Oryzias latipes: one gene and its partner. The protein of the gene in region 1 binds, or shares a complex with, the protein of each later gene. Links are inferred from orthologs where the notes say so. Each region holds a gene or a part of one and is shown in the gene's direction. Other genes may lie near its edges.

The links. Proteins that work in one complex are often made in the same cells at the same time.
Region 2: the proteins of naa25 (region 1) and naa20 are in contact, whole or in part, in a cryo-EM structure (PDB 7STX), measured with the Homo sapiens proteins. The link is inferred for Oryzias latipes from reciprocal best matches to the Homo sapiens genes NAA25 and NAA20. Residues at the interface, in NP_079229.2 of Homo sapiens: Ser226, Glu227, Ile228, Asn259, Asp261, Asp262, Trp263, Gln264, Arg318, Arg321, Leu325, Lys362, Pro363, Cys364, Thr367, Asp368, Val371, Leu457, Thr459, Glu460, Leu461, Ser504, Ala506, Leu510, Leu532, Asp533, Lys535, His536, Ile537, Gln538; in NP_057184.1 of Homo sapiens: Thr2, Thr3, Leu4, Arg5, Thr8, Cys9, Asp10, Leu12, Phe13, Phe15, Asn16, Asn19, Leu20, Pro22, Leu23, Thr26, Tyr27, Gly28, Ile29, Pro30, Leu33, Gln34, Leu36, Ala37, His38, Pro40, Glu41, Pro49, Glu52, Met54.

The regions. Positions count from the first base shown.
Region 1 is NC_019870.2:1,466,115-1,470,027, forward strand, and holds part of naa25 (N-alpha-acetyltransferase 25, NatB auxiliary subunit), read left to right. Parts: intron 1-1,321; coding exon 1,322-1,460; intron 1,461-1,538; coding exon 1,539-1,657; intron 1,658-1,729; coding exon 1,730-1,804; intron 1,805-1,877; coding exon 1,878-1,985; intron 1,986-3,113; coding exon 3,114-3,192; intron 3,193-3,275; coding exon 3,276-3,387; intron 3,388-3,809; coding exon 3,810-3,899; intron 3,900-3,913. UniProt on the Homo sapiens protein: Non-catalytic subunit of the NatB complex which catalyzes acetylation of the N-terminal methionine residues of peptides beginning with Met-Asp, Met-Glu, Met-Asn and Met-Gln. May play a role in normal cell-cycle progression.
Region 2 is NC_019882.2:16,315,392-16,320,069, reverse strand, and holds naa20 (N-alpha-acetyltransferase 20), read left to right. Parts: upstream 1-1,489; 5' UTR 1,490-1,562; coding exon 1,563-1,615; intron 1,616-1,934; coding exon 1,935-1,959; intron 1,960-2,278; coding exon 2,279-2,369; intron 2,370-2,569; coding exon 2,570-2,705; intron 2,706-2,772; coding exon 2,773-2,918; intron 2,919-3,444; coding exon 3,445-3,530; 3' UTR 3,531-3,822; downstream 3,823-4,678. Other genes in the region: CD109 antigen, read right to left, coding at 1-146, 419-444, 534-700, 1,012-1,082; crnkl1 (crooked neck-like protein 1), read right to left, coding at 3,854-4,207, 4,432-4,678. UniProt on the Homo sapiens protein: Catalytic subunit of the NatB complex which catalyzes acetylation of the N-terminal methionine residues of peptides beginning with Met-Asp, Met-Glu, Met-Asn and Met-Gln. Proteins with cell cycle functions are overrepresented in the pool of NatB substrates.

The DNA.
Region 1 (3,913 bases):
AGGAGCTTCTCTGATTGGTGGAAGGGCCGTTCTGAATCCAGACGTTGAGTTTTTAGGGACATTTCTGTAGATTTGTGTGTTTCTGTGTTGGTACAGTAAAGGGGGTGTTAACCTTTTGAAGGCCTGGTCAGCAGCTCAAAGGAGGAGTTTCTGTTTTTAAACCCGGGAGCTCTGCTGGAAAAGGCCGGCTTCACGTCCAACACGGAGCTGCCTTCTGTTCTCTCTGGACTCTCCGTAAATCCGGCCGATTCCCATCTTTCCGCGTTTTCTCTTCTCCCAAGAGGAAACGTTGGACTCGGGAAGCCGTTTCTCTCAGACGAGGAACTCGGATGGTTTTTATGCTTCACTGAACTGCAGTCAAACCGAGACAGTAGTCGGTAGTTATAGTGTAGATTTTGAGCTGGAAAACACACTAGAATGAAGTTTGTTCATTTAAATAAGACCTTTATTCACAAATGACTTAAAAAACGGAAATAACGTGTATTTGTGCAAATATTTAGCACCAAAATATGTGAGATGTTTAATGCAGAGATGAGAGAAGACGGGTCCATCAGAACCGCCGACTGATCGGAAACTGGACTGACGGACTGAGTGTGATGTCATCCACAGAAAATGGGTTACATCCGGCTCCAACCAAGGCTACGCTGACTTTTCGCATCAGTAGTGATTTCACCTTTAAATTGTTATTCAGGTGTGGAAATGGGTCCATTTTGACCCCAAGAGCTAAAATGAACAAAAGGGGAAATTTTTGAGTAAAGTTGAAAAAAAGACATTAAAACCAATAAAAAGCATTTGTTTTAACCTAAGGATAACGTAATCGTATATTTGTGCTGCTTTTAAACAAAAGTCCCACTGTGGGTTTTTTTAGGATCTTAGTCCTAAAGGAAAATCACATTTTTTTCTGGTAAAGATGAATTTTATATGGATCAATAAGTGAATGACCGGATTTTTAAGTCATTTCTCTGAACCTTTTACAGAATCAACCCTTTGAAAACCTTCTTGTTTGCCTTTCATATTGAATTCAAAGTTCCTGAAGAGCTTCACATGACCACAGGATGTCACGGTTTAGCTCCTAATGACTTCCTGTCGGGGTCTCGGAGGCCGCCGGTCTGGTGGACGGCTGCAACAATCCGCTCCGATCGTCACGCCGAAGAGCTTCAGCTTTTAGGTCGATGTTATCCACAGATGGACCCGCCCCGTTTCTGTCTCTATCGCAGATGTTCCTGTGGTTCCTCCGGTCCTGTTCTCTCTTTGGTCACAGCTGTTCATTGTTCTGGAAACTCCCTGAAATGCTGGGTCTCCGTCTGTCCGTCTCCTGCAGGTCCTGAAGGCCATCGGCCTCCAGAGGACGGGGAAGCAGGACGAGGCCTTCTCCTTAGCTCAGGAGGTCACCACCCTGGAACCCACAGACGACAACTCCCTCCAAGCCCTGACCATACTGTACAGAGAGATGCACCGGCGTGAGTACACACCGCTCCCGCACGCCGCCGTTTGCCCCGCGGGGACCGAGTGTTAAACGCCGACCGTGTCCTTCACAGCCGAGCTGGTCACCAAGCTGTACGAGGCCGCCGTGAAGAAGGTTCCTCTCAGCGAAGAGTATCACTCTCACCTCTTCATGGCGTATGCGCGCGTGGGGGAGTACAAGAAGATGCAGCAGGTGCTCCGCTGGTGATGAATGATGGCAGTGTGATGAGAATCACAAGAGGATGACTGTGTCTTCTCGCCACAGGCAGGAATGGCCTTGTACAAAATCGTCCCCAAGAATCCCTATTACTTCTGGTCCGTCATGAGTCTGGTGATGCAGGTAGGAGTTCGCCTTCATGCTTTGCTGAACGGCTTTTCCAGAAAAAACTAAACATCGTCGCCTGTTGTCGAAGGCAATCTCCGCACAAGATGATAAGCTGGCCCAGACCATGTTCCTGCCGCTGGCCGAGCGGATGGTGGAGAAGATGGTCAGAGAGGACAAGATTGAAGCAGAAGCAGAGGTGAGGCTGTCGTCTGCATAGAGTTTGACTCAAAACCTGGATGTACTTTCCAACCGGGCCTTTTCTCTTTCATCAATGTTGATGGGTTTGGGCTTTAACTCCATCAACACCAGAGCTTCAGCTCCACTGTTGACGGTCTTTAAGTTACCGTTACTCTTCAGCCGTTCATGCAGTCGACAGAAATCCGGCAGATTCTGAAGCTGAGATTAGCCGTTTTACGCAATTAACCTAAGCTGGAGAACAGCAGTTGCAACACTTTAATGTAGAATGTTTCACACTTTAAGTAAAGTGGTGAGTAGATTTAATGCTGCTTTGCACCAATATGCTTTGTTCCGTAAAGATTTGCACAGATCTTAATGTGTTTTGTAATTGTTTTGCACATATCTGAAGCAGCCTTCTGCAGTAGTAATAGTTTGCAGTAGACGGTTTGTTATTTTGCTGTTGCCAGTGACAGTAAAGCCCCACTTCAGTGAAAATGGTGGCTTTAATGTGTTATTGTTGCATTTTTCTCATGATATAAAATAATTGAAGTTTAAGACTGCGTTCCTGAGTATTATTCAAATTGTGATGGAGGAGAAACGGAAACCTGTGGTTTGAAAAAGCTCTTACTTGTGACGCAGCAAAGTAAATGGGCGGGGCCAAAGTCTCCAAGCTCCGCCCCATGCTGATGCGTCCACCTGCAGACGATTAGAACCCATGAACGTGTTTGTTTTCCTGTTCTGAGCTGGAATCTGGATCTAAACTGTTCGGCTGCACAGATCTGATGCTGCTGCGGTTTTTGCTGCGGTGCTGATGTTGGGTTGGGGGTGTTGGTAAGGAACTCGTGCTGCTCTGCAGAAACTATGTCCTAGCATTTTAGAGCTTGGCTAAAAGCAGCATAATTATAATGAATAACTTGAACTTTGAAAATGGTCGGCTCCAAATTCTGCTTTCTAACACTTCCTCCTGCTTTTACTTTGAAATTTAACTTGATGGAGTTTTTGTTTAGTTATTTTATAAATAACAAAAAGGTTTTAGTGTTTTAACACTTTAGTTTGTGTCGAGATAAACCGGAAACCAAGGCTTCATCTCTGCTTTGAGTCGTCCCTTATTTTGAAGGAGCGGCGTGTTTGTCTTCACTTCCTGTAGGTGCAGCTCTACTTCATGATCCTGGAGCGTTTGGGGAAATGCGTGGAGGCTCTGGAGGTGATCCGGGGTCCGCTGGGAGGTAGGTGGACGGCGCGGGTCCACGGGGGCGTGGCGGGTGGCGTTCAGGCGGGTGCAGACCGGTGCTGTGGCGTCTTCCCTCAGAGAAGCTGACCAGCGAGCTGCAGAGCAGAGAGAGCAAGTGCATGATGCTGTACCGCCGGCTGGAGCGCTGGCCCGAGTGCAACGCCCTCGCCCACAAGCTGCTCCTCAAAAAGTGAGTGCAGGCGTTACCCGGACAAGCCCCCGAGTCATGTGACCTGCTGCTCCGCGTCCTTCAGTCTGTGAGCAAACGGTCTTCGCCTTCTATTGGCAGACAGTCTGATGCATGAATGCGTCTTACCCACACCCCAGAGTTATTATGGGATGGCAGAGGGATTTGGACCTGCTGCGTTTGGCTTTGACAGTTTCTGTGTTGTATTTCCCGCCTTATTATCTTAGAAATGTAGAAATGTTTTCTCCTTTGATGTTTATCCGTGTTATTAAGACAGAAGCTGCAGAAACGGCTGAACTTCTGGTACCGTTTGGTGTTTCTGTGGAACAGTTCTGGGTCTGTCGTCAGATCCTCCAGAACCACCAGGACCGGTGTCTGTCTTTGTTTTGGGTTCTGAGCTGACGTGATGTCGTGTTTGTTCGCAGCCCTGATGATTGGCAGTTCTACCCCGCCTACTTCGACTCTCTCTTCCAGCTGCTGGATCGGTCGTGGAGTCCTCCAGAGGAGGGCGAGCAGTGAGTCCAGCTCC
Region 2 (4,678 bases), on another chromosome or scaffold:
TTAAGTTTGTCTGTCTGAATGAAGGTGGTGCAGCCTTTGGGGTCAAAGGACAGGTTTGTGGAGTTTGAAAACAGTAAGGACTTCCCCACATAACCTTTGACCTCAAGGACGTATGGGTATTTGTTGTCAGCTTCACCATCAATGACCTGGAGGAGAAACAAAGCACCATTTTTAAAAAACACAAAAAGTAAGCTGTTATTGATCTGTTTTAAAACCCCTTTCCAATTCAATTTTACAGGAGATAATTTTCTCATTTAAAGGTTTTTCCAGAACTTTAAGGACCATTCGGTAACTTGATACCTACAAGAAATGTAAAAGAGTCATACCATTTTTCACACAGTGACAGCATGCAACAGTTCAGATAAAATTAGGAAAAAAATAGATAAATATTTATTGATTAAAACCTTTTATTACTCACTGGCAAAGTCAGCATCCTGGTTGACCCTTGCAAAACAAAACAGGAATCTCATGTTAAAATCATATTTCAGAGCTCAAAGACAGTCGTCTTTCTTGGTAATGGATAGATGATGTACCTCCTTTAACTGTAGTAGAGTTTGTAGCTACGAGCTGTTTGCCATGAAAAATCTGGGCTAACACAGTGACCAGCTCTCTTCCCAGAATGCTGACCGACAAACAAGTTGGGACTCTAGCTTGGATGGTTCGGGGAGCAAGCAGAAGGTATGAAGGTGGAGGATCTGGTCTATAATAAAAGACAAGAAACAATATTAAGACAAGCGAGAAAGTTATAACTCAATGATTCAAAAAAGATCTTGGGCCACCAAAGTATTATGGCTTCCAATTATAATTAGATGCAGTAACCTAAACTTCAAAAACTTCTTTAAAGATTATGTAAATTAAGTTATACAAGACTCCAACTCCTGAACCGTCCTTGTCATTCTTCTCATTATCAAATCTTAATTTGATCTAAACTTTCACATTTTATTTTTAAATGAGCAAGAAAAACATTTCAGATGAGCTATTCGGCTACCTAGGTGAGTCCTTCATGTTTACCTGTTGGTGGGGTCCTGAGCCGTGGAGAAGGCAATGAAACAGAAGACTCCCCACACTTTAAAAAGGTCCATTTGTATTAATGGTCCTCTCTTCAGAGAATAACTCTTGGTGCTAGAAGCAGCCTGAGACGGTCTTATATATCTGCAGAAGGTAACCTCCCTTCCTTTTCTCCTTCTTTTCTTATTAATTCTTTGTGACATAATGCAAAACTGGTGTTTTTTTACTGGAATCGCCCACAGGCAGGGCTTTTATGAGTATTCCACTCACATGAGGATCATCTTTACAAAAAATATAACAACAAAAACAGGTATAACAGGAAAAAAGCATGCATTGGTCACTCAAAGGAAAAAACAGATACTTCAGTCCAGCAGGTGGCAGACACACACTAGGTAGTGGCGGAGACGTGTGATTTGCAGCCGAAGAAGAATGGTACTGACGAAAAATTCAAGCTGTACGCGACCTTTCCAGTAGAGGGCGCTCCTAAGTCTCTCGTGGTCTTTTTACATTGAAGTCCTTCTTCTTCTCTGCTCGGCTTACTGTAGTTAGCAAACATGACAACGCTGCGACCCTTTACCTGCGATGATTTATTCAAATTCAACAACATGTGAGTACAATCCTGACTGTATGTTTACATGCTGGATTAATTTAAAGGCAAGGAATCTCACGAGAGTTTGTGGCTGAAAAATAAACATTTGGAAGAAAAATATTAGCTTCTTTTTGCTTCGACTCGAGCCGGCTGAGTTGTGCTGTGTCGACGGCTAACATATAACACTATGCATTAAGGATATTTTTACCCCGGATTTTTAAAACAAGTTCTACATAAATAGCTTTTTTTTTTTCACCCCTGACATATTGTACAAAAATCTTGCGAGAATTGTTCTGTGCTTTAAAGTAAACAGCGTTGCTCTTGTTTTGTTGAACAGAAATTTGGATCCTTTAACTGAGACTGTATCCTTTTCGATGAGCTTTCAATTCATCGTTGGTTAAGAAGGTATATCATTATATATTATACAATAATAAATTTCAAGTGTAAATATATAAGGAAATATGCAAAAAGTTTACATCTTGTTATCTGTCCTCTTGAGATTATGGTTTTTATTTTCTTAACTTTTAAGTCTTGTATTAAATATTTTAATAACATTTTATAACATTAATAATACATTTCTCAAGGAATGATTCCTTAACTATTTGTGTAGTATTATTTGAAATATACAACACTATAGTGTGTGCTTATAAAAAACGAGTTTTCTTGACCCTTGACCTCCAGTATGGGATCCCATTTTACCTGCAGTACCTGGCTCACTGGCCAGAGTACTTTATTGTTGCTGAGGCTCCTGGTGGGGAACTGATGGGCTACAGTGAGTTTTCCATGTTTCCTTACAATATTCCTTATGGTTATTGAAAATTTGATGAGCCACAGAGTTGTTTTCGCTTTTTTATTCAAATATAAAAAAGGAAAAATCCGTTTCTAAATACCGAGTTTGATGTATACAAGTTGCCCTTTAGTAGTTTTGACAGTTTGAAGCATCACATCTCCCATTGGACCTGTTTTTTGCAGTAATGGGGAAGGCAGAGGGATCTGTTGCTCGCGAGGAGTGGCACGGTCACGTCACCGCTCTGTCTGTGGCTCCGGAGTTCAGAAGGCTCGGGCTGGCCGCCAAGCTCATGGAAATGTTGGAGGAAATCTCAGAGAGGTTTGTATCTGGAAAGCTATCTGATTTTGATCATTGTATTGACCATTCTCCTTTTGTCATTTTAAAGGAAGGGAGGATTCTTTGTGGATCTGTTTGTGCGAGTGTCCAACCAGGTTGCTGTAAACATGTACAGACGTCTGGGTTACAGCGTGTACAGGACAGTCATCGAGTATTACTCTGCCAGCAACGGGGAGCCCGATGAAGATGCTTACGGTAACACTTAGAGCTGAATTTATTTTACTACATACATGAGAAACAGCAATCCCTGTTAGTGGAAATTAACCTTTCATTTTAATTTAGACATTAATACATTATTTAGAAATATTGAAAAGCTTAATTTTTTGAATCCTTTAAAAAAGAAACCATTTATTTATGATCAGTATTTGGGGTTTGATAAATGCATTTAATGCCCTTAGTATGAATAAGTTATTGAAATAATTATCTGAAGACTGTTATGTAGTCACGAACACTTGAAAATTGACATTTAACAAATGTGTAGTCTTAACAGGTCAATTTTACTTCTTTTTTTTTAAAGTAAACTATCAAAGGAATTTTTTTAACAAATTAAATGGATTTAGCTGTAAAATGAAAAGTTTTTCTGATTTACAGCCAAATAAAATGCAAAAAAAATACACGTAAATTCATTTTTCCCTAGTGTTGGAAAAAAAAAAAATATATATATATACTTTTTACTGGAAAGAATGATTTAAAATAATCAAACTGATGATTCTTTTTGCAGATATGAGGAAAGCTCTGTCCAGAGACACAGAGAAGAAGTCGATCATCCCGCTGCCACACCCGGTCAGACCGGAGGATATTGAATAACATCAGAGTGTGGCTCTCTGACTCGGATCTGCCGTCTTTATTCTGCTGTGTTGTGATTTCAGCTGTAGTTCAGTGACCATGTAAATAGTGAAAATGACACACAAGCGCCTTTTTTTTCTGCTTCAAAGTCGGAGAGCCACTGAATGTACAAAACGTTGCAGTTTTTAGTTTTTATTTCTTATAAATTTGAAAGAAAGTCAGTTGAGAAAACACACAAATGAGTCTAAGCGGTGTAACGACACAGAGAAAAGTTGCAATAAAGATGGCTCGTGAGCTGAGTTTTTTAAAAAAATGTAGAAAATCCCTGCCTGCTTTGACTGAATCTAATCTTTGTCCTCCTGAGGGCTTTTGCTCTGCTTCTTCTTTGCTTCCTCATCTTCATCACTATCACTGCTGCTGCTGCTGTCCTCGTCGTCTCGGTCATCATACGTTTTCTCCTGCTCGGATTCAGTCATGTTTCTGGCAGGCTCCTCCTCTGCCTGCTTGTCGGCGAGGCCCGTCTCCTCAGCCTCCACTGATGTTGCCTCTTCAACACTCCGACCTTTTTCTTGAGGCTCGTCGGTGTTTATCTGCTGCCTCTTCCACATCTTGGCCATCGCGAGCAGCTTAAGGTTGGGCTGGTTGGCAGCATCCTCTGGGAAGATGTAATCGTAGTATTCTTCCCAGCCTGCATCCGACTGATGGAATCAGGAAAATGGGATGAAAAACATTTCTTTTGTTTGCATTTACGTCTAATATTTGTTGAGTAGCTAATTTTATTAGGATCTGATGTGGTTTAAAGTTAAACAATTAACAAGAAAAAGGTGAAATTTTCACGGTCACACAGCGAATCTTGTCGCTCTTCTGGAGCAACAGTCACATTTTCCCTTTTGATGAAAAAGAATTTCGTCTCCTTGCTTACCCCATCTTCAGCGGTCAGCTTCCTCCTCTTCTTGACCTTCTCGGGCAGCAGCTTACTAACTCGTTCTCTGCTGCTGTCTGAGCCAAACTCCTTCTCATAGTCTCTCCAGGACTCCAGCAGCATCAGCCTCTCTTCTTTCTCCTCACAGTTCCTCATGCTCTTGTTGGCTTCCTCGAAGATCTGCCGACACTTCGCCAGCCGGTCAGGTCCATCGACTGACAGCTCGAATTTGGCATAGCTAATCCAA